Linked DNA regions of Drosophila melanogaster. The protein of the gene in region 3 interacts with the protein of the main gene of each other region in a biochemical or structural test. Each region holds a gene or a part of one and is shown on either strand. Other genes may lie near its edges. The genes, in order: DIP-eta, DIP-iota and dpr3.

Region 1 (8,513 bases), 3.5 Mb from region 3:
GCGTGTAAACAGGCAACAGGGCAAAGTTCAACAAAAAGTACTTGAAAACAGAATCAAAACTACGAAACAATGGCAAACAATAATCGCGATGCCGGTTGAAAATACGCCAAATTAAAAGTTTCAAGTTTAAATCCGAGCCGGAGGGCCAACGGCCTTCCTCTCCGGACGTATCCTGTGCCCTCCCCCCGGGGGCCCAGTTCAGCATATTTCCTTCTCCGGCCGGAGAACAGTGCTCTTGGCTTATTTTGCGTGTTTGGACTGTGTAAATTGTGCAGGCGAACAGCTGCCAGAAATTAACTACCAACCTGCAACTATCTTTTGGAAAAGGTGTTGCATGCTCTGCCTCTCTGCTCATTTCATTTTAGACTCGTTCTCCGTTTTGTTTCACGGCTCTTAAACGTGGCCGGTGGGCAAACCTGTTTACGGAACGGAAATGAAATGTTTCGTTGGCAGCCGCAACGTTGTGAACTCGTAAATAAAGCATCAAATCGTGCATCTTTACGGACTTCTGATGGGTCTGAAATAGTTAGGCTTATGCCGGAGTTAAGTTCGGTTCACCTTTTCCATTTTAGAAGCCTGCCCAGGTGACATGAATGACACAACTTTTGCCGGCAAATGTTACCCAATGCAGTTGTAATCAGACTTTTGCGATAATTGTTTATTGGCCCATGAGCATGCATCACATGAGCTTTTCAAATAGTTATTGGATTGGTCAAAACCATTTGCTAGGTCTATAGTTAAGAGTCTCCAACCGATAATTGTCGTTTGAATTGATAGTTAAATTGCTGTTGTCTACAAAAATGCATAAAAATACATTAGAACTACCATTAAGATCTTTATTTAACGGAAATTTATAGTTAACAGGGAATTATTTTGTGTAAAAAAAAAAACAAAAGTATCTAAAATATCTAATAAAAGTTACTATCACTATGGGCCCGGTTACTCGCTAAGATTCGCTGGTCAAGTTCTGTCGATTACTTAAATTACTATTGATAAGCTGAGGTTGAACCCTATATTTCTGTTCAAACTATTTTTACGGAACACTTAAAACTAGTTCGGGGGCAATAATAGAAGGGTGCCTGCTGCCAGACGCAGATATCAATATGTTCGAAAGTCCGCCCTTATGATTGGGGAACCTTGATTAACTTTCCAGCTGACTCGGCCATGAGCCTGAACATGCAAACGATTTCGGGTTTTGGAAAAATAAAAGTCTACTTTCTGGCGGCCGCAAACTGACAGGAACCATTTTAAACTGACATTTCATTAAAATTCCTTGTCCCCTCCCTTCGAGTTCGTATTGATTTTTTCATAATTTAGCGGAATTGAAAGCAAAGTTGCCGGCATGTGTGCTATGTGTCCTTTGTCATACACACATACACACACACACCCATACACTCACACATTTAAATCCGCATTGCATGCCCAGAAAAGTAGACTACAAAAGACAACAGGCAAACGACAGCACTGCAAATGGTTACAGGGAGGGGGTGGCGGTTGGCCTGGAACGGCGGTAGGCACTAAAAATGTCTAGCAAATGGGCCTGGCAATATTATTAATAATTTAGAGCATGCGGGCCACGTCAGGAGTCGGACTCGGAGTCAGGGACAGGTGATGGCTTCAGGCTTCAGGCCCACGGCCTGACCACAATCCGAAGCCATATCGAGGCGATTGTGTCGAAAGTACCTTCCCGCTTCTGGTGGGCAGCTCTTGGATGTTTGGTGCCATTGGATATTGATGGCGATGTAGATCACTGATGTTTATTAATTATCACGAGTTAAAAGTTTTGCTTTTCTAAATTGGCACAACAGCCTACACTGACAAAATATCTTCATTCATTCAAGCATATATAATATATATTGTGTTTCACATTCTTCTGTAATTATATAAAATTGAAAATATTTTGTAATAAATAATGGAAAGTATTTAAACAAAGCGAAAATTCAATCGAGCAATGTGATGAATGCCTAAATTGACCACAAGCAATTTTCCAAGCAAATGTGTAATTTATTTCAATTTGGATGTTTCTAAATCCTTTTCCTGTACTTATTTTGTTACCAGCTTTAAGTACAACTTATGAAAAAGCAAAAAAAGAAAATATTTATGACAAATAATAAGAGGTGCTCATGGCACCTTTGTAGTGTTCAAGCCATATATTATTTTTATGGTTTCGGACATGCACGGTCCCTTTTTCTCCAACGCTTCAATGTGTATAATCAGCTGCTGAATTATGGCAAATTTTCAGTAACCCCCCCGACAGTTTGCTTGAAGCACCTTTTGCATTTTTCCCTTTAAAACAATAATGCTGACATGTAGAAGCTTCAACTGAAATGTCATTCGCTACTACTACCAGACTTCTCGAGCTATACTTTAAATTCAATTTCCAGCGCAAACATTAATTAACACGTGATAAATATCCCGCTCTATCGCGATGCCACTTCGACATTTTTCAGAATTATTCGCCGTCTAGCTTTTTAAATTTTTTTTAATCCGGCCCAGAAAAGGGCAGCCCAGTTAACCGGACCTTGCATAAAATTTGCATAACTCATAGTGTTCAGGCTGGCAGCGCCTTCTAGAAATCAGAGTTTCGCTCGGTTTTTCACAATTTTCTCCTCCGCTCGCTTTCCAGCACGGAAGTTGATTATTATCGCTTGTTATTAACAACAGCAACAACAATGGCAGGAAAAATCCAACTCCTCACATGCCGGCCATTATGTCAAGCCGACTGAACGACGAGGCCTTGCCAACCATTTCGTTATCGCTCCGGGGGCAATTGGAATTCTTCTTATGCAATTGATACCGGAGCAGGCGGGGGAATTCGGATTAAGGGGATTACGATTTCGCAGCAGAACAACAGGGTTTTCAATCTTGAGTCAACATGTTTTAATTTCCATAATATACATATATGTATACCACTCGGCCCCACCTGGAGCGTCAGTAGACAGTGCACATTCGGCTGTGGGCGCCAACTGAAATCACAATCGAGCAGATAACAACTGATCAGAAATTATATGTAAAATGCAAATGATAGAGAAACGCCATAAATCGAAAACAGGCACCATCATGCCACCCCGGGGGAAAACCACCGAATGTGGGTTGTACAGTGTACACTGTACACATATTATTTCCGGTTCGTCCCAAAAGCGCTGCAACATATTTGCAACAAATGGCTAGCCAGCTAGACAGCAAATTGGCATGAAGCGTCGAGGGTTTGTCCTGCGCTTTATGGATATCAATGAACTTTAAATTACACTCGGGCAGCCGTGAAACATAAAATATGCAATTGTTGCCCATGTGGCCTAAACAGTGCACTCCTGCCATACGGGGACACTCGTAATAAACAGCGTCGAGTGGCGCGCCAGACACATTCACATTTGTAGGCAAATTTCACGATACACACACACACACACACAGACACGCATGCAGCTGGAATGGCAAATCATGTGACGAGCATTGACCGCCGAGGGTGGCCCGATTGTTGTTGCTTCATAAATAACTCGGGCTTTGTTTTTACTTTAAATATAATTACAGCAAACACGCAGCTGACGGCAAATGTCGCCAAAATCGCGGCTAAATTGCCAACAAGCGGCTAAAAACGCGCGCGACTCAACACGCGAGCGAATTCTACTTGTTGTCGATTTGACCTGGCCGAAATCGCTGCCAAACTATTTTCGAATGCCTTCACTGGCCGCAATCACAGCCAGCGATTAGAAAAAGGATTCCTTGCTTTCTTTCAATAGTCTTGCATGCAGATTTTAATGGAAGTTCGCATTTAACTTAATAGCTGCAGCATAACAACCTTTTTCAGAGCATTTTCTTGGCAATCTTGTATTTTTCGTGAAACTCCAAATTGCACATGTCCTGCGGCTGAGCTGTCCTGATTTTTTTTTTTTTAAATCCTGTCGAGAAATTCGCTCAGCACAAGTCACTCATGGCGTCTACAGCATCACTTCGATTCACTTGCAGCACGAATGCAACACTTGGCGGCAAAAAACACACGCGATTCCGTTAGGGATTCTGCTTGCTTGTATGCAGCAGGATTCGAAGGACTAAAGGCCAACCGCACGAACCGAGCGCCGTCGATGTACTGAAGCCAGCATTTCCGAGGGCCACCAAAGTCGCGTGGAACGACTCCCAGCGACTGCCGAGCGATGCCGAAGATGCTCCTTTGGCGAATCGTCGTCGTTTTGGGGGGTTTTGGGGGGAGTGTGGGCGCCCCAGTGGGTGGGTGGTGTTTTTTAGTGGGCGCCCGGGGGGTGGGCAGCGGCCTCGCGAACGAATCAGACAACTGTGATTTTTGTTGTTGCTGGGCCACATTTTATTTTGCTTTTTGTTGGCGGGCGCTTTTCACTTCGTGGTGCTTCTTTTTTCCTAACATGCTCTGCGCGTGTGTGTGTGCGTGTGCTGCCCAATGGGGGGCGCGCTCTCGGCTCGGTTGAATACGAATTGAATGGCATTGAAAGCCTGGGAAATTCTCTCGCCATACTTTTGGGCGCGTGAAACTGGTGGCTCGCATTTATGAATGAAATCTGTGGCAAAGGAAAGGGTTAACCCTTTTTGGGTTGGGTGAAGGGATGGTGATGGTGAGAGGGGGTGCTGATAGTAAGTAACTGTGTGAGATGAAGAAATGAATTGTCATTGGTCGTGGCGCTTGAATATGAGAGAGGGAATTATCACTTGCAATTCTGACAACTGCAATAAGTACAACAGATTATTGCCATAGGAAAATACTATATATTTTGACTTGTAGGTAGAAGAAAATGGAATGGAAGCCATCTGCAAGATGATCTTTCGCTGTCTTCTATTTTGGATCTCTTTTACGGGATTCATTTAATATAAATCAATCATTATCAGAAAATTATGCTTTAAATTTAAGTATGTATTGATAAAAAACAATGTTTCAATGGTTCGCAAGAAATAGTTTCCATAAATTTAAAGACGTAACTAAGGCCAATCTTACATCTAACTGAAATCTGTTTGAAATTCTCAAACAAAAATTTTCTAACGATATAATTTGTAGTATATATGCAGAAACAAAGTTCTTTCCAACTAAGAATTGAAATAAAATTTTTAAAATTAAATTAGTGCTTTACTAGGCCGTCTTATTTATATAAAACGATATAACAAAGTCGTTCAGCATGAAATATTATTTAATAAAATTCGCCTGCATCGTTCCGAGTCAGTTTTGATTGTTATTAAATATATTAGTGCCCCCAATACTTTGAAATATGCAACTAAAAATTGACTGCGATCGATTCAAAAATGCTTCAAAGTCCGTTCGCTATGATACATTATTTAATTAAATTTCTTCTGCTTGGTGAAACTTTTCTTTGGAGATTTCCATTATGTGTGGCAAGTGCAACAAGCGAGGCAGGAAAGTCACCCACCCACACACGCACACCAGCCAGTCGCTTTTCAATAACCGTGCCACATTGTGTCAGGCACCGTTTTGACCTGGCCACCGCCCTCTGCAACTCTAAATTGCTCATATATACTTATATATATATATATATATTTCGGGAGCTAATCAACTCCCGCCCCCTTTCCCTATCGCGTCTTTATAACAGGCATATAATTTCGCACAACACACGCACACGACCAATAAATAATAGCGATGGAAACAGTAGAAACCCACCAATAACAGATTTTATGACGTATAAAAAGGATTTATAAAGCGTCCCTGGAAGGAACTATCTATCCCGCTCCATTTCTCCATCGAAAACTTTTCATTGCGTGCCAATGCACTGGAGCCACAAATCATTTTTACCAAAAGGGTTAGCTCTACACTCGAAGAAAGAAAGTTGATTATTTTAAATTAAAATCAAAGAGATTACATATTAGAATTATTCAAGAACAAATACACTTTAATGAAATATTACGTTATGTTCAACGATGGATTTATAAATTTGACTATTCAACTATTTGAACTATTTTCTCTCAGTATATAGGGACTGGGAGGACTAGCAACTTGTTTTCAAGTTTCTTGCTTTGTTTCCTTTGCCTTGCTTCCTGGCTGGTATCCTTTTACGAGCTTGCAAGCCCCTAATATAAATTTTGACACCTGATAATTGCTTTTCACTCGCTTCCGCGTTTTTCGCTGGATGCGACGACGACAGCTGCAGTTCTTTCACCTGCCACCCGGCGGACGAATCACCTGCGCGTCTGGAGCCACCACCCACCACATCGGGACATCTGCCCACTCCCACTGATGGGGGCTCGACATGCAAAGGTGGTGGGGAAGTTGGGGTCGATGGGGAGGATCTGCAGGATGGTTTGTTAGCTGCTTAACTGCCATAAATTATGACTATATTTTCGCTTTTACGGCGCCGTTTAATAGACAAAAGTTCTGGCTGAGTTATAGAAGGAAGCGTCAAGGTTGCCAACCGGCTTAGGAAATTGCCAATTAAAAGTCTATAAAAGTGTATAATTATATGGAAATATTCGGAAATTATTCGGATCGTGCGTCCAAAATAGAGACATCAATAGGGACGCTTACTTAAATATTACTACATTGTAATTGCACCCTGTAAACTTTTTACTTATATCTTATATGATATAGTTCTTGTAAGGGCATTGAATTGTCTTCTCCAAATTCTACCCATAAATATAGAGATACTTATACTCTTAATTTTATTTATTCTCTTTGCCACTTTAGGCATAATTTGCACTCTCTTATAATTGTTTATATTCCCCACACGCACTTAGACGACTCAATCTCCTATTGAAATCCAATGATTGGATCAGTTGATATTGTCGACAGTAATTGTGAAGTTGTTTCTTCCGGCCATCGGAAATTAAAAGCCATTTAATTTTTTTTTTGTGGCGAACAGGACAGTGATATAAAGTGAATTAAGTCCTTCGACCATTTTTAATACTTACTCAATAGTTATTGGGTGAGTAGGGATCAGTTATTATTGATACGACATATTTGTGTCGATATGAACCATTTAGTTAGCACATCATAGACCCTTCAATTCGACCACTGTTTCAAAATGTTTCAATATTTCTGAGTGCCGACTACTCGCTCCTTATCCCTGATTCATTTATTGATTAGTGCTGCTCATTATGCCGGCACTGAGTCTTCTGCTTGCCCACAACTAATCACCGAAATGCCCAAAATGTTGAGACTGTCCACTGCTGGCACTTGTCACAGTTTCTCCATCCGCACGAGTGTCTCTTGATTGTGTGGGCAGCTCTGGTCATAAATTTAATATGACACCTGCAGGACGCAGGAGTACACACCCCACCCCACACTCCCCACTCCCCACTCACCACTCCGCCCCTGCCAAATGCATTATTCACACATATTTTGCTAATTAGCAAAATATTGTAAATGTTTGGATTTATGCAGGCAACTCACACACACTCAAATGCATCGGTTGGGGGCTGTTGGCCTGTGGGCTGTGTGCTGCTGGCCATCGGAGAAGTGCATCAAACTGGACCGCAATGGCTTTTGGTCGGCTCACATGGCTGGCCAGCTCCCCATGCCATCCTCCTCCGACTCCTCCTTCTCCGCCTCCTCCCCCAGCTCCACCACCTGTGTCGCCTGTGTTGATTTAATGCCCATGGTGTCGGATTCTGGGATAACTGAGCAGTAGCCTTGGGTGGCGAACGGGATGGGGGTCTTTGCGGCTGCCATAAATTTTGGTTTGGCTTTCAATCGAGCGATTGGAGCGGGTGAGTTTAATTGAATATTCTGCTGACGGAACGGCAGGCTGCGTTGTTTATTCCCGCATCGAATCGTGTTTACATTAGGCGCGACTCGACTGGATCGACTTGCAATCGGACGCCGTCGCTGGGCAGGAGTATCAAATTCCTCTTGGTCACCTTCAGCTGAGTTGGCGATCCGGGCGGCAGGCTGAAGCGGAAGCGGCGGAGCAGCGTGATCAGGCCCACCTTCACCTGCATCCGTCCAAACCGCAGGCCAATGCAGTTGCGCGGTCCGTCGCCGAAGCCCAGGAAGGCAGTGGGATGACGCTCCCGGCAGGCATCCGGTGCAAATCGCTCCGGCCGGAACTCGTGGGGCTCCGGGTACACTTCGGGGTCGTAGTGGATGGCCAGCACCGGAATGTGCACACTGGTGCCCTTCTCCAGGACGACGGGGTCGCCGCCATCGGGCGAGGGGATCTCATAGTCCTCGGAGGCGAGACGTGTAAGTGAACTAAGAGCCGGGTACTTGCGCAGAGTTTCTGGAATGAAAATGGAGTTTGGTGAGTACAAATATCAAAATCAGCAGCCTTATATATATTTAATATAAAATTATATATTTAAACATAATCTATACTATAGCTGCCATTGAAAAGAGGGTGTAAAATTTTCCAATGTGTATTATCTTTCATTTATTTGCAGTCAACTCATTTATTTCGATTTCGTTCTGTTACTTGAGCAGTTTTAATGCTATCAGATGAAACCTTGGGAATTGTGTTTATGTTTTTTCTGATCAAGGTACATTTTTTTCCCGAATCCGCTGTTATAGAACCCATGGGCTCGAATTGTATACATGAGTATTATTTATC
Region 2 (8,513 bases), 4.5 Mb from region 3:
TGTTTTTAAGTTTTATAGTTTACTTGTAGCAGGGCTTCTTGAACATCTGCTCGTAGTTCAACATGCTCTTGACTAGCACTAAAAAATGAATATTTTATTGTGATATTAATTTTAAGAACTGAGATATTACCAACCCCATCGGCTGCCTACAATTGTGGGACAAACGGCGTGCCTGGTCAGCAGATTTGGGTCACCATTATTGTGGAGGTTGTACCAAAAGAGGGCGGATCCCTTCTTTGGCTGAATAGCAAGTTGGGCGCCGGGAAAGATTGTGGTGCCACCCACTGGAACATCGGTCATCTGGAAGTGTTAAATTGGTTAAATAGTACATTTTCTATAGAGTGTTGGTTTTGAACTTACGTAGAACAAGAATGTCATTAATCGATCACCTTCCTCAGTCAGTTCCTAATAGTTGTGTATGATCTAGCGATATAATGAATAATATACACTTAAATGAATCAGGTTACTTGCCGGATAAAGCTTAATGTCCATGTAATCACTGTGTTCTTGGAAATAACCACCAAGTCCATAATTGATTCTGGCCAGTGTGGTGGTATTGCCCACATCCAGGCCAGATATGTCTGCCATACGATTTACCAACGTTTTGTCCAACTTTCCGCCATCGTCGTCGGTGACTTTAATGTGAAAGAGACGATTCACCCGATCTGGAGTCGTATAGTTTGTGGTGGTGCCCAGAATCATCTCCTCTCGGGTCACATTCGTCAACTGAGCTATCTCACTGTCATAGATCACGTCGTGATATAACCAGATAAGTGGGTCTCTGCTGATCTCCTCCTCCTTTAGAGGAGCTATTCGCATAAATGGAGTGGTGGTGCTATTATAGCGACACACTAGTTGAGGTCCTGGTGGAAACTTTCCCTGGCAGCCCTGTTCAATCATAGTGGGCGATTTCCTTGGCCTTAGATGCACCAATGAATTGTTCGGGTCTTGAGAAAGTTCCTTCAGACAGTCAGTTAAGTTTTCAACGGAACCTGATGGTAAATAATTATTTATAAACACCAATATTATTGCTTCTTTGAACTTGCCTTCTTGAAGCCGACTTATGACAAACATTTTTTCGAGCTCTTTTCGTTTTGGAGCATAGAACTTAAATGCAATATTATTTTTTGGTTTGGTGAAGACACTTAAAGCTATTCGATACCATTCAGCCGCACGTCTAAATTCTGATCGTTTGTACATATAGTCTGCTAAAGCCAAGCAGTCGGAAGCTGACATTCGCGAACTATAGAATTGTTATCATTATTATCTAATAGTGTTAAAACTAAGTTATCTTACCTTAGCTGTTGACCTGCCACAAGACCCTGGGCCATATCCGATGACTTCAGGTCGTAGAAGTGTTCTATTCTATCCATTCCCATTAGGGCCTCTTCCATATCATTTGCGTGGGGTGTACGATTGATTAGCTTATTCATTTCCTCGATGTCAACTGTAAAATATTTAAATAAACCAATAGCCTGTTGTTTCATATTTAAGTGATAAAATACAAAAATGTACTTTTAGCTTCCCTTGAAATTGAGAAAACGTGCAAACATTGTATATAATCCACACCTTTTATATTTCCTTGATCCTTTAAGTAAGCAATCAACTTGGGCCAATCTTGATGAGCCCGCCTTAAAAGTCCAAAGGAATTTAGGGGATTGGACACATATTTATATCGATCCACCTTGTGATCCAAATAATTCGGAGTTAAAGAATTAATAAAACTATGTGAAAGTTAAAGTGTAATTCTAGTTTTAAGAGAGGAATTAAAATATATATCATACATTCTGAGAGTTTTGATTTTTTGTTGCAGAAAGCTAACATAGTTGTTTAAATGCTCCATATAGGAATTCTCAATCTCGCGAAGTTCAGACAGGGCTCGAATGGAATTTGAGTATATTACTTCCTGTACTACATCATTTTCGGCTTTCTTTGCTTTGCAAACTGTGAATAGGAATAATAAAATCCAGTTCAGCAGAATATAATGAAATGATCTTAGCAACATTCTGCTGCGAAAACTATATTTTTTCATTTCCTAACGAAGATACTACATTTTAAATTGATTTATATCGCTTATTCGTCAGGCCTATTTTAAATGCTGCGGTGATTGATACACTTAAGTTACACATATACACTGTTTGTATATTTAGCTTAATATAATTTAGTATTTCCCTAACAAGCCTCATAGAACATATTTCATGAGTGATTCTTGTTTCAAAAAATAGTTGTAAATTCGCTTACTTCTTTTAACAGCGCTACACAACACTATAACTTTTAGCAAAGTTATACACCGCCATAATTTTATTGTTAGGTAACATCGGAGTTGTAAACCATTTCTGTTTGCTTTTTCGAAATTTGATTTCGAGTTTCTACACAGTTAGCCAAGACACATACTTTTCATGTGTAAGTAAAAGTAAGGAAAGTTTATTTGAAAGGCTTTATTATACATCAAGCAGAAACAATTTGAAATTATCGGCAGTTTTTTAAATAAATAATTTTTAAATAATGAAAAAGTATGTTAAATCCACTAAACTAACAATTCTTGAATTTAAGTCTATTTTAAAAATATACATAACTAGTCAAGGCAATCTAATGTACGTATTGCCATTCAGATACTCTAAAACGTAAGTTTATTTTGCTGACTAATCAAATTATGAAACAAAGGTAGGATTTATCAATCACTTAGACTTCAAGATTGCATAAAAACACACTCAAATTTTAGCAAAATATTATTTAATTAAGACAGAGGCTCTGACTCAGAGGCCAGAATGAAGAAACGAAGAGAAACTTGCATGGGCCAGCAAAAGATGTGCCCCTAGGGAAAACAACAATCAAGCAAATTCCACGTGCTTATTATGATTATTGTTATCGCTATTGAAAAGCGCTAATTGTGCGCAAATAGCGGTGCGAACTTAATGCCAACTTACCGAGAAGCTCACACATGCAAACCAAGCCAGTTGGAAGTGCAAGCATCGCAGAAAAGCAGAGGAGCAGCAGCTGGAATCCGGAGGGATATGGGGGATACGGGTGAAAGTTGGGCAGAAGATGCGCGGCATTTCGGGGTTAATTAGAATGGTATTGGAGTTGGCCTTTATTCTCCGCCGCCCACAAAAAAATCACCAATAATGTGTCACTTTCCCCCGGCAACATGTCGTATACTTCATATCGTCACGTGCATATGAAAATATTACGTCGGGCGGTTTATGAATGAAACATTTACTATTGCACAGCACCGTCTTTCGGCTGCCGGGCACCTTGACTACTACTGGGCTACAACCATACCCACTAGACACACTAGAACCACCCAACCACCACCCACTACCTTCGCAAGGCCGCAGGACACATGCGCAACGCCAGTGCCGCATTTGAATTTTGAATATGAGTTTTGACACTTGATTATCAGTTCGCGACCAGTTGTACGGGTGTGCGGACGTTTGGCCACGGCAATCGGCGGAAAAAACTTCATCCGCAGAAGCGGAAAAAATACATTTGCGCTGTTGCGGCGGAAGTTGAACTTCGGCCATTTGGGCAGTGAAAGTGGCAGAGTTAAAAATTAAAGTGGGAAATCAGCAAATATTCAAAAGTTTCGCACCTTGATTGCGGTTGAGTTTTCGGCTATGGGAAGGCGATTGCCCAGCTTTTGGCTGCTGCTCCTGCAGAGCGTGTGTTTCAGCCAGGCCAGCTTTTCGGAGCTAAACAATTGTAAGTGGATCGAGGATGTGATTAACTAAAGGATAAATAAATCTGATTGCTAATAATGAAATTAGTCAGAAATATAAGATTTACTTTGAATGAAATGCATAACCCATTAAATATTAAATTAAACATTTTAAGGATAGTTTTTCTCGATTAATATGACGTTTTTTGAATGTTGTACAATTAAAAAGTATCCTGTTTACAAGCTGAACTTTTGTAACCCGCCAACACGAAATGATGAACCCAAAAGTGTACAGCTAATTGACTGCAAACTATCTAAAGCCGGAGTGGTAGCGTATAAAATGGAAGGTAGCTGGTAATCGGAAGTCCAACGAGTCCATAAGTGAATAAACTGTGGCCAACATATTCCCCAGACGGGACAGACAGGATGGCGGTGATAGGGAAAGGGAGCGGGCAGAGGGGTTTCCGGTGGAGAGCTGCGAAAGAGTAACGAGGGGTAACTTCCGCTGGGGAAAATGTGCGCCGAATAAAAAAAACAAAACAAATTTTCCTTGACTTTGGCGAGCCAAATGCGATAAATATATCAAAATTCGACAAAATTCGCATTTAAATCAATGTGCCAGATGCAAAGTAAACATAAATATTGGCAGGCTAGCCGCAGCGTGCGATAAGAAAGTGAGAAGTGGCTCAAAGGAGTGATGATGCACCGCACCGCACGATGTTCCGTGCCAACCAACCAACTCCCACCACCCACCACCCACCGCACAGCGGGCAGGCAGACAGACAGTCGCGGAAAGGCGACGTTTTCCCACTTCCTATTGCACTCTGCGATATTTTCGTTTCATTTTTTTTTCTATTCCTGGCCGGCGGTTTCTGCCGCTGAAGTGCCGCGTTTTTCGGTTGGCGGTTGCGGGTGTGGAACTGCCACTGCAGTGGGTTATTTCGCAGTTTTTACTTAACTTTTTGGCAGACATTGCGTGCTGATTGTGATTGTGATTCCTTTCGCCGGCAGACAGCTGGAGTGTCTAACAGGAGACAGGACATTCACTTTCCGTTTCAAGTTCAAGTGGCGTGGGGAAAGGACACGGCCGGATTTGCAGCGACTTCGCGGGGAAAATGCGGCTTAAGTCCTGGCCGAGCGATTCAAGCGATTCCAGCGATACAAGTCGTGCAAGAAAACAGGAAAATATATTTAACAACTCATAGTCAATTTCCCCTTATAAAATGTGGCAACAACAAAGGCGGTGCGGTGGCGAAAAAGTTAAATGCTAAATTACGCTACCTTGCAGACATAAATAAAAGAAGAAAAGTTTAACTATATGAACACACATGTATGAGTACACTCAGAATAATTTCAAAAGTAGAAATCAAAAGTAAGATATTATACATAATTACTTACCTTGTAGTTTTGTTAGCGTTTTATGTTCATTGCTCCTTTATGCATAAAAAATCTAATCAAAATCTGTTGATGCAAATATATTATTGAAATTTTTGTTTTTTTTATATTAGTTCTTTAGCTTATTATACTTTTATTTCCAGTGCAAAGTACGTTTGTGTTTTATGGCTTAAAAAGTCTCGCTCGTCCCTTTCTTCGGAATGTTTCAATATGCAAACATGCAATAACCAAATTGCAATACCAACAAAAACAGAAACCATATCAACTGAAGGCAGTCAAACAATGGCGCCTCGTTCCCCACACTCAGAGCAACTGAAGGCGGAGCCTTCGGACTCGGACTCCAAAAAAAAAGCGCCCAACTTGCGGCCAGACCCAAACATAATCGCAAATTATAGGCTCTATGGCATGGCATCCGTAGGCTACCCAATTTGATGCTAGTTTGGTGGATACCCCCCCCACACAACGCAATCAATTCGTGGTGGATGGGGGGGGTATACATAAAGGTGTAGCACAGCTTTTTACAATTTTCCAGGTACCAGCACCTGCTGCCCCCCAACCAACACACACACACATACCGCGCTCTATTAGATTTTTGCATTTTTTCGGGTTATTATTTGGTCATAATTGTAATTTAGGCGTTTGCTGGAACAGGAACAGTAGCTGGAACTGGATTCCTCGTCTCCTGGCCACAGAGTCGTGCTACTTGTTAGGCATGTGATGTGATTTCTTCCATTACTCCTGCCTCCAGCCCATTGTTGTGTTTGCGATGGTGTGGGTGGGTTCGGTTTGCGGTTGGAACTCTGGTGGTTAGATTGGCTGACGGCAACTGTCGAAGTCCTGCGGTCGGGCACCTTGACTCAAAATTATTGCGATGGGACTCGAGTTGGCCGAAGCAACAACACGCCGGAAAGCAGTAGTTTGAGTTCATAGTGTGTGAACCCAACGTGTTTATGCTATTATTTACGATAAAATCAAAACATAACTATCCCGCTGTTCAATATTATGTATGTACAATACATGAGGTACTATTTTTGAGTAAAAGTGCTCAGAAAAGAATCCATAACCAAATCATAGGTTTAAGATGATGTTCAAAACTATTGTTTCTATATATATATAATATAATCAACATATTTTACTGATTCAAAAATAGCTTCGTTTTGCTAGTTTTACAATTTGTTAGTGTTGAAGCTACTCTATTTTGCCAGAATGTAGCTGACATCTATAATTTATCTAATTATTGGATTATCTGCCGCTGTCTCGGCCTAATGTTAACCTCAAGAAATTTATGGCCGTTAAACAATTTTAAATATCGTTGACCATTTCGGCGGGCCATCTGGCAACAAACTTGGCCTAGTCTGCGTTGACATTCTGCAGAGACACGCAAAAATGTGCGAGGATAAGAAATGAAATAATTATCCTGATAATTGTGGATTAGAAAAGCTGCACATAAAAAAAGGTTATTTTTTAATTGAATTAAATGTTTGGCGTCTGAGTTCCATTAAAATACAGCAAATGCCAGTGCCTCACATTTGCAAGCCCCATAAACCACCCCAAAAGCCACCCAGCAGTTGTATATCGTCGCCCCATTTAGCGCCCTAATGATGAAAGCCATAAATGCCAAACCATTGGGCTTGGTGCCACCATCTTCCTTTGCAGCGGATCCCAAGTTCAGCGGTCCAATCAACAACTCAACAGTTCCCGTGGGACGGGATGCCCTACTCACGTGTGTTGTCCACGACCTGGTTAGCTTCAAGGTGGCCTGGCTGCGAGTGGACACGCAGACGATACTGAGCATCCAGAACCACGTCATCACCAAGAACCATCGCATCTCCATCTCCCACACGGAGCATCGGATCTGGCAGCTAAAAATACGCGATGTTCAGGAATCGGATCGCGGATGGTGAGTGAAAGTATCTATCAGATAGATGGACCATATTCTTCTACTAGCGTTTACCGTAGGTACATGTGCCAAATCAACACGGATCCCATGAAGAGCCAAATGGGCTACCTGGATGTGGTGGTGCCGCCAGACATTGTAGACTATCAAACCAGTCAGGATGTGGTTCGTTCCACGGGACAGAACGTAACACTCACTTGCAGTGCAACGGGAGTGCCCATGCCCACCATCACCTGGCGTCGCGAGGAAGCGACTCCGATACTGATTTCAGACGACGGCGATCGGGAAGTGTTCAGCGTGGAGGGTCAGAATCTCACCCTGTGGCAGGTGCAGCGCTCCCACATGGGCGCCTATCTCTGCATCGCCTCCAACGGAGTGCCACCCACAGTGAGCAAACGCGTCATGCTGGTGGTGAATTGTATGTGTGAACAAAGAGTTGGATTCAATATATAATACTGAGTTATCTTTCAGTTGCGCCCACGATCTGGACACGCTACGATACCATCTACGTGGGCCTGGGCCAGAAGCTGACGCTGGAGTGCATCACAGAATCGCAGCCGGCATCGGTGAACTTCTGGCTGAGGGATTCGCAATTGCTGCAAGGAGGTTCCTACGAGTCGGTCTCAGTGGACCACGTCTTCCGGATCGTGATGCGGATCACCCTGCGTCCAATAACGAAAAGAGATTTCGGAGAGTACATATGCAGGGCAAAGAATGCGATGGGTCAGACAGATCGGATTATAACCGTGCACCGTAAGTGAGATTATATTTCGGTTACTTAATCCCTTAGATGTAACAAATGTTGACCACCAGATAAGGCCAAGAAGCATGGACAGCACTCGCATCAAACTTCCTCCCGCGAAAGTCAGTTCATTGTCATCGAAGGTTTGTTTGTTCTACAATAAATAGAGTCGCGATAAAGATAACTAGCTAAATCTTATTGCAGAATACATCGCAAATATGTCTGATAAGAGCTGCAGTTTCCAACCGCTTTGGATAATGTTTCTATGTTTCGTCAATAAAGTGTCACTTTTGTGAGCAATCAAACAATGTGTGCTTTGTCTTTTGGCCACGTCTAATGAGTGACTTCATCTTTATATTGCCTAATTCACAATGTTATATTAATAATAATTTTGGTGACAATTGTTCGATTCAAGGGTAAAAGTAACGCACGTGTGAGCAAACTATTAAAAAAAAATCAATTAATTTGATTTTGATTCTGATCTTTTGTTTTGATTTTTACGTTCGGTTGACTGAATAAAATTGCTTTAGGACAACATTTACAATAATTTTTTTCTAAATAGTCTACAATTCGTTTAAGTTATTTACAATTGGATTCCTTAGTCAGATCAATTGAATATATCGATAGAATTCGATCCGCAACTTTACGCTTAACTTAGAGGAAATCGAACTAAGGAGACGTGTTCAACAGGTGTGTTAATATTTAAACATTAATATTTAGCTACTTCCCATCGGTTGCATCTGTTCCGTTTCTTTCGCAATAAATTAGTGAGTTAAGAATTAGATCTAGCTATGAGCGTGTCGAGGTAGGCTTAACAGTTT
Region 3 (8,513 bases):
TTTTTTCGACCGCTCGTCAAGGGTAAACTATCAGGGTCTGACAGATTTCCGGCGGCAGACTTTAGAGGACATCAAGGGCTTAATTGAGTATAAGCAAATTAGAGGTAATATGGCTCGGAATAAAAATAGGGACGAGCCAAAGTCTTATGGGCCGGGAGATGAAGTTTTTGTTGCAAATAAGCAAATAAAAACAAAGGAAAAAGCGAGGTTCAGATGCGAAAAGGTACAGGAAGACAACAAGGTAACAGTTAAAACCAGATCAGGAAAAATTTTCCACAAATCTGATCTAAGAAATTGAGACGTGGCTTTCACATTTAAAAAAGAAACGCGAAAAAGAATAACGAAAGTAATAAAAGTACGTTGTGGCAGCTAATGAAATATTCCACCCATGCATACCCTATATAAAAAAAACATTAATAAAAAAAAAAAAAAAAAAAAAAAAAAAAAAAAATGAGTTAAGAAATACAAAAAGAAATACAAAAAAAACTATAAAAAAAATAATATAAAAAAATACAGATTATAAGAAATAAGAAATAAGAAATATAAAAAAATAAAAATATAAGTACACAAAATGTACCGTACCCCCACACACTACGTAGTCTTAGAACAACTTAGACGACCAGATATTTACGAATTGTCTTTTTGTAAGCGCGATTTCTGCATGCGGCGCAAATCCCGCTCACTGGACTGGCTGGGGTCGGCTTGGAAATGGGTAGCTGGATCTCCAGATGCTGCTGATTGGAACGCCGTCTTGGCCGCGCAAGCGACGGCTTCGAGGAACTGCAAAAACTGGAGGAGGCTAGCTGTATCCCTCGGCTACTGAAGTAACCAACGAGTGGTTAAGCAAGTCGACGATGGAATGCTCCTCCTGACCAACTTCAACGGAACTCTAAGAACGGCTGCAGAGAACTACGACCTGATCGGCTCCTTTATCATCCAATTCGACAATGAGACGATAATGGTCAACGGTCAAAACTATTCCAGTTACTCGGTCAGTCATCTAATGGCGATGCCGGCCGTGTTGAGCCACATAACGGCCAGCAACTTTCAACTTTCTCTGGAATACGTCCACGACGTGAGCATGAAGAATTTGGAAAAGATGTCCAACATGGCGAGTGAGCTACTAGCCTCTCTTCTCACCGAGGCGGCACTCGCAATCTGCATATTCCTAGGCTTTTATTTCCTATGGAAGAAGCTGATGTCCACCAAAGGCATGCCCGATGTCCGCGAGATTGCCGCAAACTTAGAAGCATTGGGCCAAACCGAGCTGAACAAGGCTCACTAATCTGCGGGACGCAGATCTTGAGGGGGGAGGAGTTAAGAACCCTCTTCTTGCGCTCTTCGTCAGGACTCACCAGCGCTCGGCTCTCGTGTTTTCGGGCCCCGTCAGCAGGCGACTCGGGGCCTGTCTAGTAACATGTTCGTGTAAGTTACGAACCCTCTTCTTGCGATCTTCGTCAGGACTCACCAGCGCTCGGCTCTCGTGTTTTCGGGCCCCGTCAGCAGGCGACTCGGGGCCTGTCTAGGAACATGTTTGTGTATGTGTGCATTCGGAACAAGTGCCGTTGGTCGCACTCAGGGTGAGGGGTCAACGGGGGAAGCGGATATAAAAGCAGCGGGGCGGGAGAAGAGGCCCCAGTGTCGAACGGACACATAACGGAACCGCTAGCAGATCGCGAACTGAATCTTAAAATAAAGCTAATCGTAAACTCGAACCCTCTTAACTATCTTGACTATTATTTGGAGAACCACAGCATGTTGGTTGTCATATCAAGGTGAGGTATGCGGCAGCGAGTGCCGAGAACCCTGATGCAAGTGGAACTTGCGTTAACTTTTATATATATGCTCCTGCCTCCTTTCCAGCGCCCTCCCCTCCCTCCACCATCCATGTTCAACCCAACAGCCTCACACATTTTCCAACTTTCCCACGGCGTGGGTGGTTCTGGGTGGGTGGCGCTGGTTCTGCTGGGGCCAACTGATTTATGACACTCAAATGAACTTCGACGCTGACTGAATAAATTTTGAGAGCGACTTTTGTGTCGAGTTCTCGATTTGTATGGCATTTTTTTTCGCTTTTCCAGCTCCACTCCTCTATTTTGCCGCCAAAAAAACCACAAATTTGTCCAACACCGATGCGAAAACTAAAATTAACTAAAAATACATTGGGTATGCAGGAGAAATAAACTATAAAGGATCCATAAAAACAAACATTATCATTAAGCTGGAAAAATACTTGTGTTGTATTTTGGGTCTTAAAAAATTATAAGTCAATAAAAATACTTTGAAGTTTTGATGGCTTTTTGCTGTGCAATATTTTTCGGGTTTTCCTGATTTTTTAATGCCTCTTGTTCTTGACGCCAGTCTTCTACTGCTTCTTCTTGTTAGTTAGTTGTTGCTTGTTTGGATTTATGAACCTGCCACAAATTCGTCAGCGAAAATCCCTGGGAAAATTCTCTCAGCTGCTGTGTTTTTGTTCCGTTTTTTGTTTTTCTTTTCGCTTCTTGTTGAGTTTGTCAAATTTTTGACATTGAATCTGCAATGCGGGTGGCTAGAAAAAAAAAGGATAGCCGCAGGTGAAGGCAGCAAAGGATCTGCAGGAGCAATGCAGTTTCAGCCCGACTGATTTTTCCACGCTTGGATTTATTTTCATTTTTTCCGGCTGCGCTGCGTGTTTTTTTCCCACGCCCCAGAAAAAAAAAACTGGCTGCTTGTGAAATAATTGATGTGCAAATGTTCAATTGAGTTCACCTTGAGTGAAAGTGAGGGGCAAAAGGAAGCCAATAGATAGACGGCGGCTTTCACTCTGACGAACGTTAAATGTCAATGGAATGTGGGGTGGGGTGGGGTTGGGTGTAAACGAGAGGAGGTGTCTGCAAATTGGTGGCTTAAATTGATTAAGCTCCAAATGCAATCGATTATAAATTATTAAGAGCAGCTTAGGCCTATTATGTGTGGATAGCTGATATATTGGTATTAGGAAATTCATAACAAGTTCATTGAAAATTCGCGGTTATTAATTATTTATTATTATTTAATTATTTATTATCCATAATACTTGGATTAAAATGAATTTAAAAAGCTAATAGCGTTTGTAGAAATATTATAGAGTGTGAAGCTAAACTTAAAATTATAATCTCATAACTTGAAACATTAAGTGTCTTATATATTTTGCAAACTGACTTCTATTCAAAATATGGCAATTTCTCAAAAGTTTCAACAGCCTGGGGAAATGTTTCTTCAAATAAAGCGAAAACTGAAGGGGTAACTTTATGCACTGAATAAAGGGATTTTATCGCTCAACAAAGAAGCAGTTTATGTCCTAATGGACTTTTTAGAACAAGAGGTTCATGAAAAGCAGTAAACATGCTTATGGGATATATTTGGAAGTTAAAAAGCAGTCATATCTCAAGAAGGATATTTTTAGACTAATGTAAGGGCATTTTAGACCGGGTGTCCTTGGAAGCAGTGCAGGAAAGGATTTTTGTTTCAACTGTAAACAGGAGCATTTACCACACGTAGGATTTATTTAGCAGCTAAAAGATTTTTTGACTATGGTCTATGGAAAAATATATCATTCTACTTAAACTAAAAAGCAGTGCAGACTGCTTTCTACTTAAAGCAGGGGAAGAATATGCAAGACCAAATAGTATGAAAATTGGTAATAAGTCTCTTAATTTTTTGAAAATATTATCTAAGCCAAATATAAATATTTAAAATTAAAGATATAAAAAATAATACTTTTAGGGCACTTACTTTTAGGTAAAAATTAAATATATTTTTTCTAAATTTATTATGATTATTTTTAAAATTTATTTAGTTTATTAATGCCCATTCCCACATTTCACATTGCGCTGCAAGGATATTTGCGGGATATTATTTCCCCAGGATTTCACGAAGCTTTAACACACATTCGGAGTGCGGCGAATTGTGGTCCTTACAAGCTTTTCCGACTCGTGACTGTGTGCGTGTGCGGCTGATTGCCTGCGTGTGAGTGTCCTGTTCGCGTTGTTGTCCTAGTCGGTTTTGAACTTTTTTTTTACGTGCCTCGGAAGCCTTCGCTTTTACCTTCGCCTTTGCCTGTAGCCGCCGTAGTTCATGCCGCCGATCTCAGTATTGTGACGGCAACCAGGGGCTGCGGAAGTGCCACACACTCGCGACCTCGAGTCCTTTTCGCGCACAACGGTAAATCGAGTGGGTTAGGCGGTTTTTCGAGTTTTTCGAGTTTCCCGTGTTTTCCGACTTTTCCGGCGACCCAAGGAAAGGCGTAATTTTGAAGTGCGTTAACGAGGAGATTCGCCGGAAAGCGGACTTTTCAATGGCCCCGTGGAGTGAAAAGTGGGAAACAACAATAGAAATTTAAATATTCATGAACAGTGTCGATTGTCATCAATTGTGCGATGTTGTGCGGTGGCTGTGGACACATCGCACCCGCCAAACATTGTGTGGAACATTTCCCGCTCCTTTCGCCAATCAATGGCTGTTCACACATGAACACGAATATATTTAAAGACTTACAATTTTGGGCTCCGTTCATATCTTATGTAAATGAATCGAGAGCGATAAATTATATTTAGGATTTTGTTATCTAAGGCGACATGGGTGCATTGCTCAAAAACATGTAATTTAAGTGCACACTACATGAGTCAGTCACTTGAGATCGTTCCCCGCCTCCTAAAATAGTCCCTTAGTGGGAGACCACAGATAAGGTCCTCGCCGCTCAAGATAGGCAGATGTGCCCGAGCGTGGGACCTCGATAAGGCGGGGACTATTTACGTAGGCCTCTGCGTAGGCCATTTACTTTAAGATGCGATTCTCATGTCACCTATTTAAACCGAAGATATTTCCAAATAAAATCAGTTTTCTTACAAAAACTCAACGAGTAAAGTCTTCTTATTTGGGATTTTACATTTGGTCAATCGAGCCTTTAATCGACTCTGCAGTTTCCCCCTACCAAAGGTAAGGAACTCAGAGAAAGGCCAGCTCCTTTAAGCATCTTACAGCTAAAGGTAGCAAAAATAAGTGACTCTTGTTTCCCCCTACCAAAGGTAAGGAACAGAGTATAAATATAAAAAGCAAAAGATACAAAAGAATCTTTTATGTTTTAAAACAAGCACCTTATAGTCTATAGCTAAAGGTTGCTTTGTGTACCATTATAAATTGTGGTAAGGCGTGCTTGAGGCCATACATCAGCAATTGTGAAATTAAAAAGTGCATAACAAAAGTGCCTTATAAATGCTCTAATAGCATTAAATCAGCTCATAAATAGAGTGCAGTGTATATGCCATAAGAGCATAAATTAAATAAAAAGTGCCTGAAAACAGTGCCTTATAAATGCTCTAATAGCATTAAATCAGCTCATAAATAGAGCGCAGTGTATATGCCAAAAGAGCATAAATGCCGAAATAAATGGCTAAAAAACAAAAAATCTGACTGGACTACAAAAATAATAAAACGTGCCAAAAAAAAAAAAAAAATCATCTTTAAACATCGACGGAGCCTTAAAGAAGAGAAGGAAGTCAAATTCAAAGGAGCCTCTACCAGCAGCAGAAGCAGCAACAACAGCAGCAGCAGAAGCAGCAACAGCAGTAGCAACAGCAGCAACAACAGCAGCAACAGCAGCAGCAACAACAACGACATCAGCTAAGTCAAAACAAGAATTTTCTGTTTATCCAAACACACATATATATATAAATACATATAAAATACATATACACGTACTATATATATTAAGAAATTACAAAAAATTTTCAAAATGATGTCAGAAAAGACTATTCAATTCCTTAAGAAGCAGTCCGAAATTATTTTGGAAATTAGAAAGTTGGAAGTAAAACCAACATTAACAGATGTAGAAATTCTAAAATTAAATGAGCTTCAAAAATGTTTCATTGCTAATCATAGCAATTTGTTAAAGATCGGCGTTGTCGATCATGAATATTTTAACGCGAAGCAGTATGATTTAATAATGATGGTGTTAGAAAAAATTAAAAATAAAAATGAAAAAATTAAGGGCGAGTCGGTAGAAAACACTTTCCCTAAATCAAACACTGTCCCTAAATCAAACCCTCCCCCTACATTAAACCTTGAAATGCGTGGTCACCCTGAAAAAGAGGGTATAGCACAAAACAACGCTTTAAAAGTAGAGCAGGCATTTCGTAATAATGTTGGCCAATTTCGAGTATATCTAGAAGATACGTCTAAACTAATAGACAGTAGTCCAGATTTCCTTAAAATAAGGAAAAATAAAATTGAATTTTTATGGCATAAAATAGATAACCTGATTGAACAGGTGAATAGTCATTTTGAGAGTTCGCTATTCGAAGAAGAAATTAGCGAACTTGAATTTGACAAACAAAATATTCTTACAGCCATTAATAGTCGACTCAGTGGCACAATAAATAAAGCTGAAATGTCGACGGTTGTTAAGGCGGAGGAGTTACCAACCCTGCCTAAAATACAGATTCCCACCTTCTTTGGTGATTCCAAAGAATGGGATCTTTTTAATGAACTCTTTACAGAGCTCATACATGTGAGAGAGGATCTCAGTCCTTCTCTCAAATTTAATTATCTAAAGTCAGCATTAAAAGGAGAAGCCAGAAATGTGGTTACTCATTTACTGCTCGGCTCTGGAGAAAATTATGAAGCCACTTGGGAGTTTTTGACCAAGCGATATGAGAATAAAAGAAACATATTCTCAGATCATATGAATAGGCTTATGGATATGCCAAATTTAAATTTAGAATCCAATAAGCAAATAAAGACATTTATTGACACGATTAACGAGTCAATTTATATTATAAAATTAAAGGCACAATTACCAGAAGATGTGGATGCAATTTTCGCTCACATAATTCTTCGGAAATTCAATAAAGAATCACTCAATTTATATGAAAGCCATGTTAAAAAGACAAAAGAAATACAGGCACTTTCTGATGTCATGGACTTTTTAGAGCAAAGGCTCAATTCTATATCATCATTCTCACAGGAAGTAAAACCTGTAAAGAAAATGATTAATAATAACAAGAATAAAAATTATAGTGACAATTGTGCATATTGCAAACTACCAGGGCATTATTTAATTCAATGCCATAAATTTAAAATAATGAATCCAGCAGAACGGTCTGACTGGGTAAGAAAAAATGGGATTTGCCTAAGATGTCTGAGGCATCCGTTTGGTAAAAAATGTATAAGCGAGCAGCTTTGTTCGACTTGTCGTAAACCTCACCACACGTTACTTCACTTTGCAGGTCATAATCCAGAAAAAGTGAATACGTGTAGAACAACAGGTCAAGCCTTGTTGGCCACGGCCTTGATTCAAGTAAAGTCGAGGTATGGAGGCTTTGAACAATTAAGAGCATTGATTGATAGTGGCTCTCAAAGCACAATTATTTCAGAAGAGTCTGCACAGATTCTAAAATTGAAAAAATTTCGGTCTCATACTGAAATAAGTGGAGTATCTTCCACAGGAACGTGCATCTCCAAGCACAAAGCGGTTATTTCGATAAGAAATTCTCCGAAAAATTTAGAAATTGAAGCAATTATTCTCCCAAAACTTATGAAGGCACTTCCAGTCAACACGATTAATGTTGATCAGAAAAAATGGAAGAACTTTAAATTAGCCGACCCCGATTTTAATAAACCGGGTCGCATTGATTTAATCATTGGAGCAAACGTATATACTCACATTCTGCAAAATGGAGTTATAAAAATAGACGGTCTCCTTGGGCAAAAAACTGATTTCGGGTGGATAGTTTCTGGATGTAAAAAATCCAAAGGAAAAGAAACCATTGTAGCCACAGCAATAGAAATAAAAGAGTTAGATCGCTACTGGGAAGTGGAAGAAGAAGAAAAAGATGATATCGAGTCTGAAATCTGTGAAAATAAATTTATCAAAACGACAAAAAAAGATTCAGATGGGCGATACATTGTGTCAATTCCATTCAAGGAGGATGTCACCTTAGGAGATTCAAAGAAACAAGCGATAGCTCGTTACATGAATCTGGAGAAAAAACTAAAAAGAAATGAAAAACTTAAGGTTGACTACACTAAATTCATGAATGAATACATGGATTTAGGACACATGATTGAAGTGAGTGATGAAGGCAAATATTTTTTACCGCACCAGGCAGTGATTAGAGATTCAAGCCTTACGACCAAATTGAGAGTAGTTTTTGATGCTTCAGCAAAAACTACGAATAACAAAAGTTTGAACGACATAATGTGGGTTGGGCCACGAGTTCAAAAAGATATTTTTGACATTATTATTAAATGGAGAAAATGGGAATTTGTTGTTTCGGCAGACATTGAAAAGATGTACCGACAAATTAAAATAGATAATAATGATCAAAAATATCAATATATTTTATGGAGAAATTCTCCAAAAGAAAAAATTAAAACATATAAATTAACCACAGTCACTTACGGAACTGCATCTGCACCATATTTGGCTACCAGGGTTCTGGTAGATATTGCAGATAAATGTAAAAACCAAGTTATTAGTGCAATAATTAGGAATG

Evidence for each region.
Region 1: the proteins of dpr3 (region 3) and DIP-eta form a complex in vitro, tested with the Drosophila melanogaster proteins (one study listed by BioGRID).
Region 2: the proteins of dpr3 (region 3) and DIP-iota form a complex in vitro, tested with the Drosophila melanogaster proteins (one study listed by BioGRID).

What each region holds. Positions count from the first base shown.
Region 1 is NT_033779.5:5,613,859-5,622,371, forward strand, and holds the start of DIP-eta (Dpr-interacting protein eta), read right to left. Parts: upstream 4,089-8,513; 5' UTR 3,797-4,088; intron 1,804-3,796; exon of another isoform or gene 1,372-1,803; intron 1-1,371.
Region 2 is NT_033779.5:6,616,615-6,625,127, reverse strand, and holds DIP-iota (Dpr-interacting protein iota), read left to right. Parts: upstream 1-3,427; 5' UTR 3,428-3,617; coding exon 3,618-3,702; intron 3,703-5,681; exon of another isoform or gene 5,682-6,048; intron 6,049-6,709; coding exon 6,710-6,953; intron 6,954-7,012; coding exon 7,013-7,368; intron 7,369-7,421; coding exon 7,422-7,703; intron 7,704-7,763; coding exon 7,764-7,835; intron 7,836-7,896; coding exon 7,897-7,988; 3' UTR 7,989-7,994; downstream 7,995-8,513. Other genes in the region: CG34345 (uncharacterized protein), read right to left, coding at 20-78, 135-300, 361-405, 472-992, 1,047-1,243, 1,297-1,447, 1,570-1,724, 1,785-2,005.
Region 3 is NT_033779.5:2,105,488-2,114,000, reverse strand, and holds the start of dpr3 (defective proboscis extension response 3), read left to right. Parts: upstream 1-4,122; 5' UTR 4,123-4,275; intron 4,276-8,513.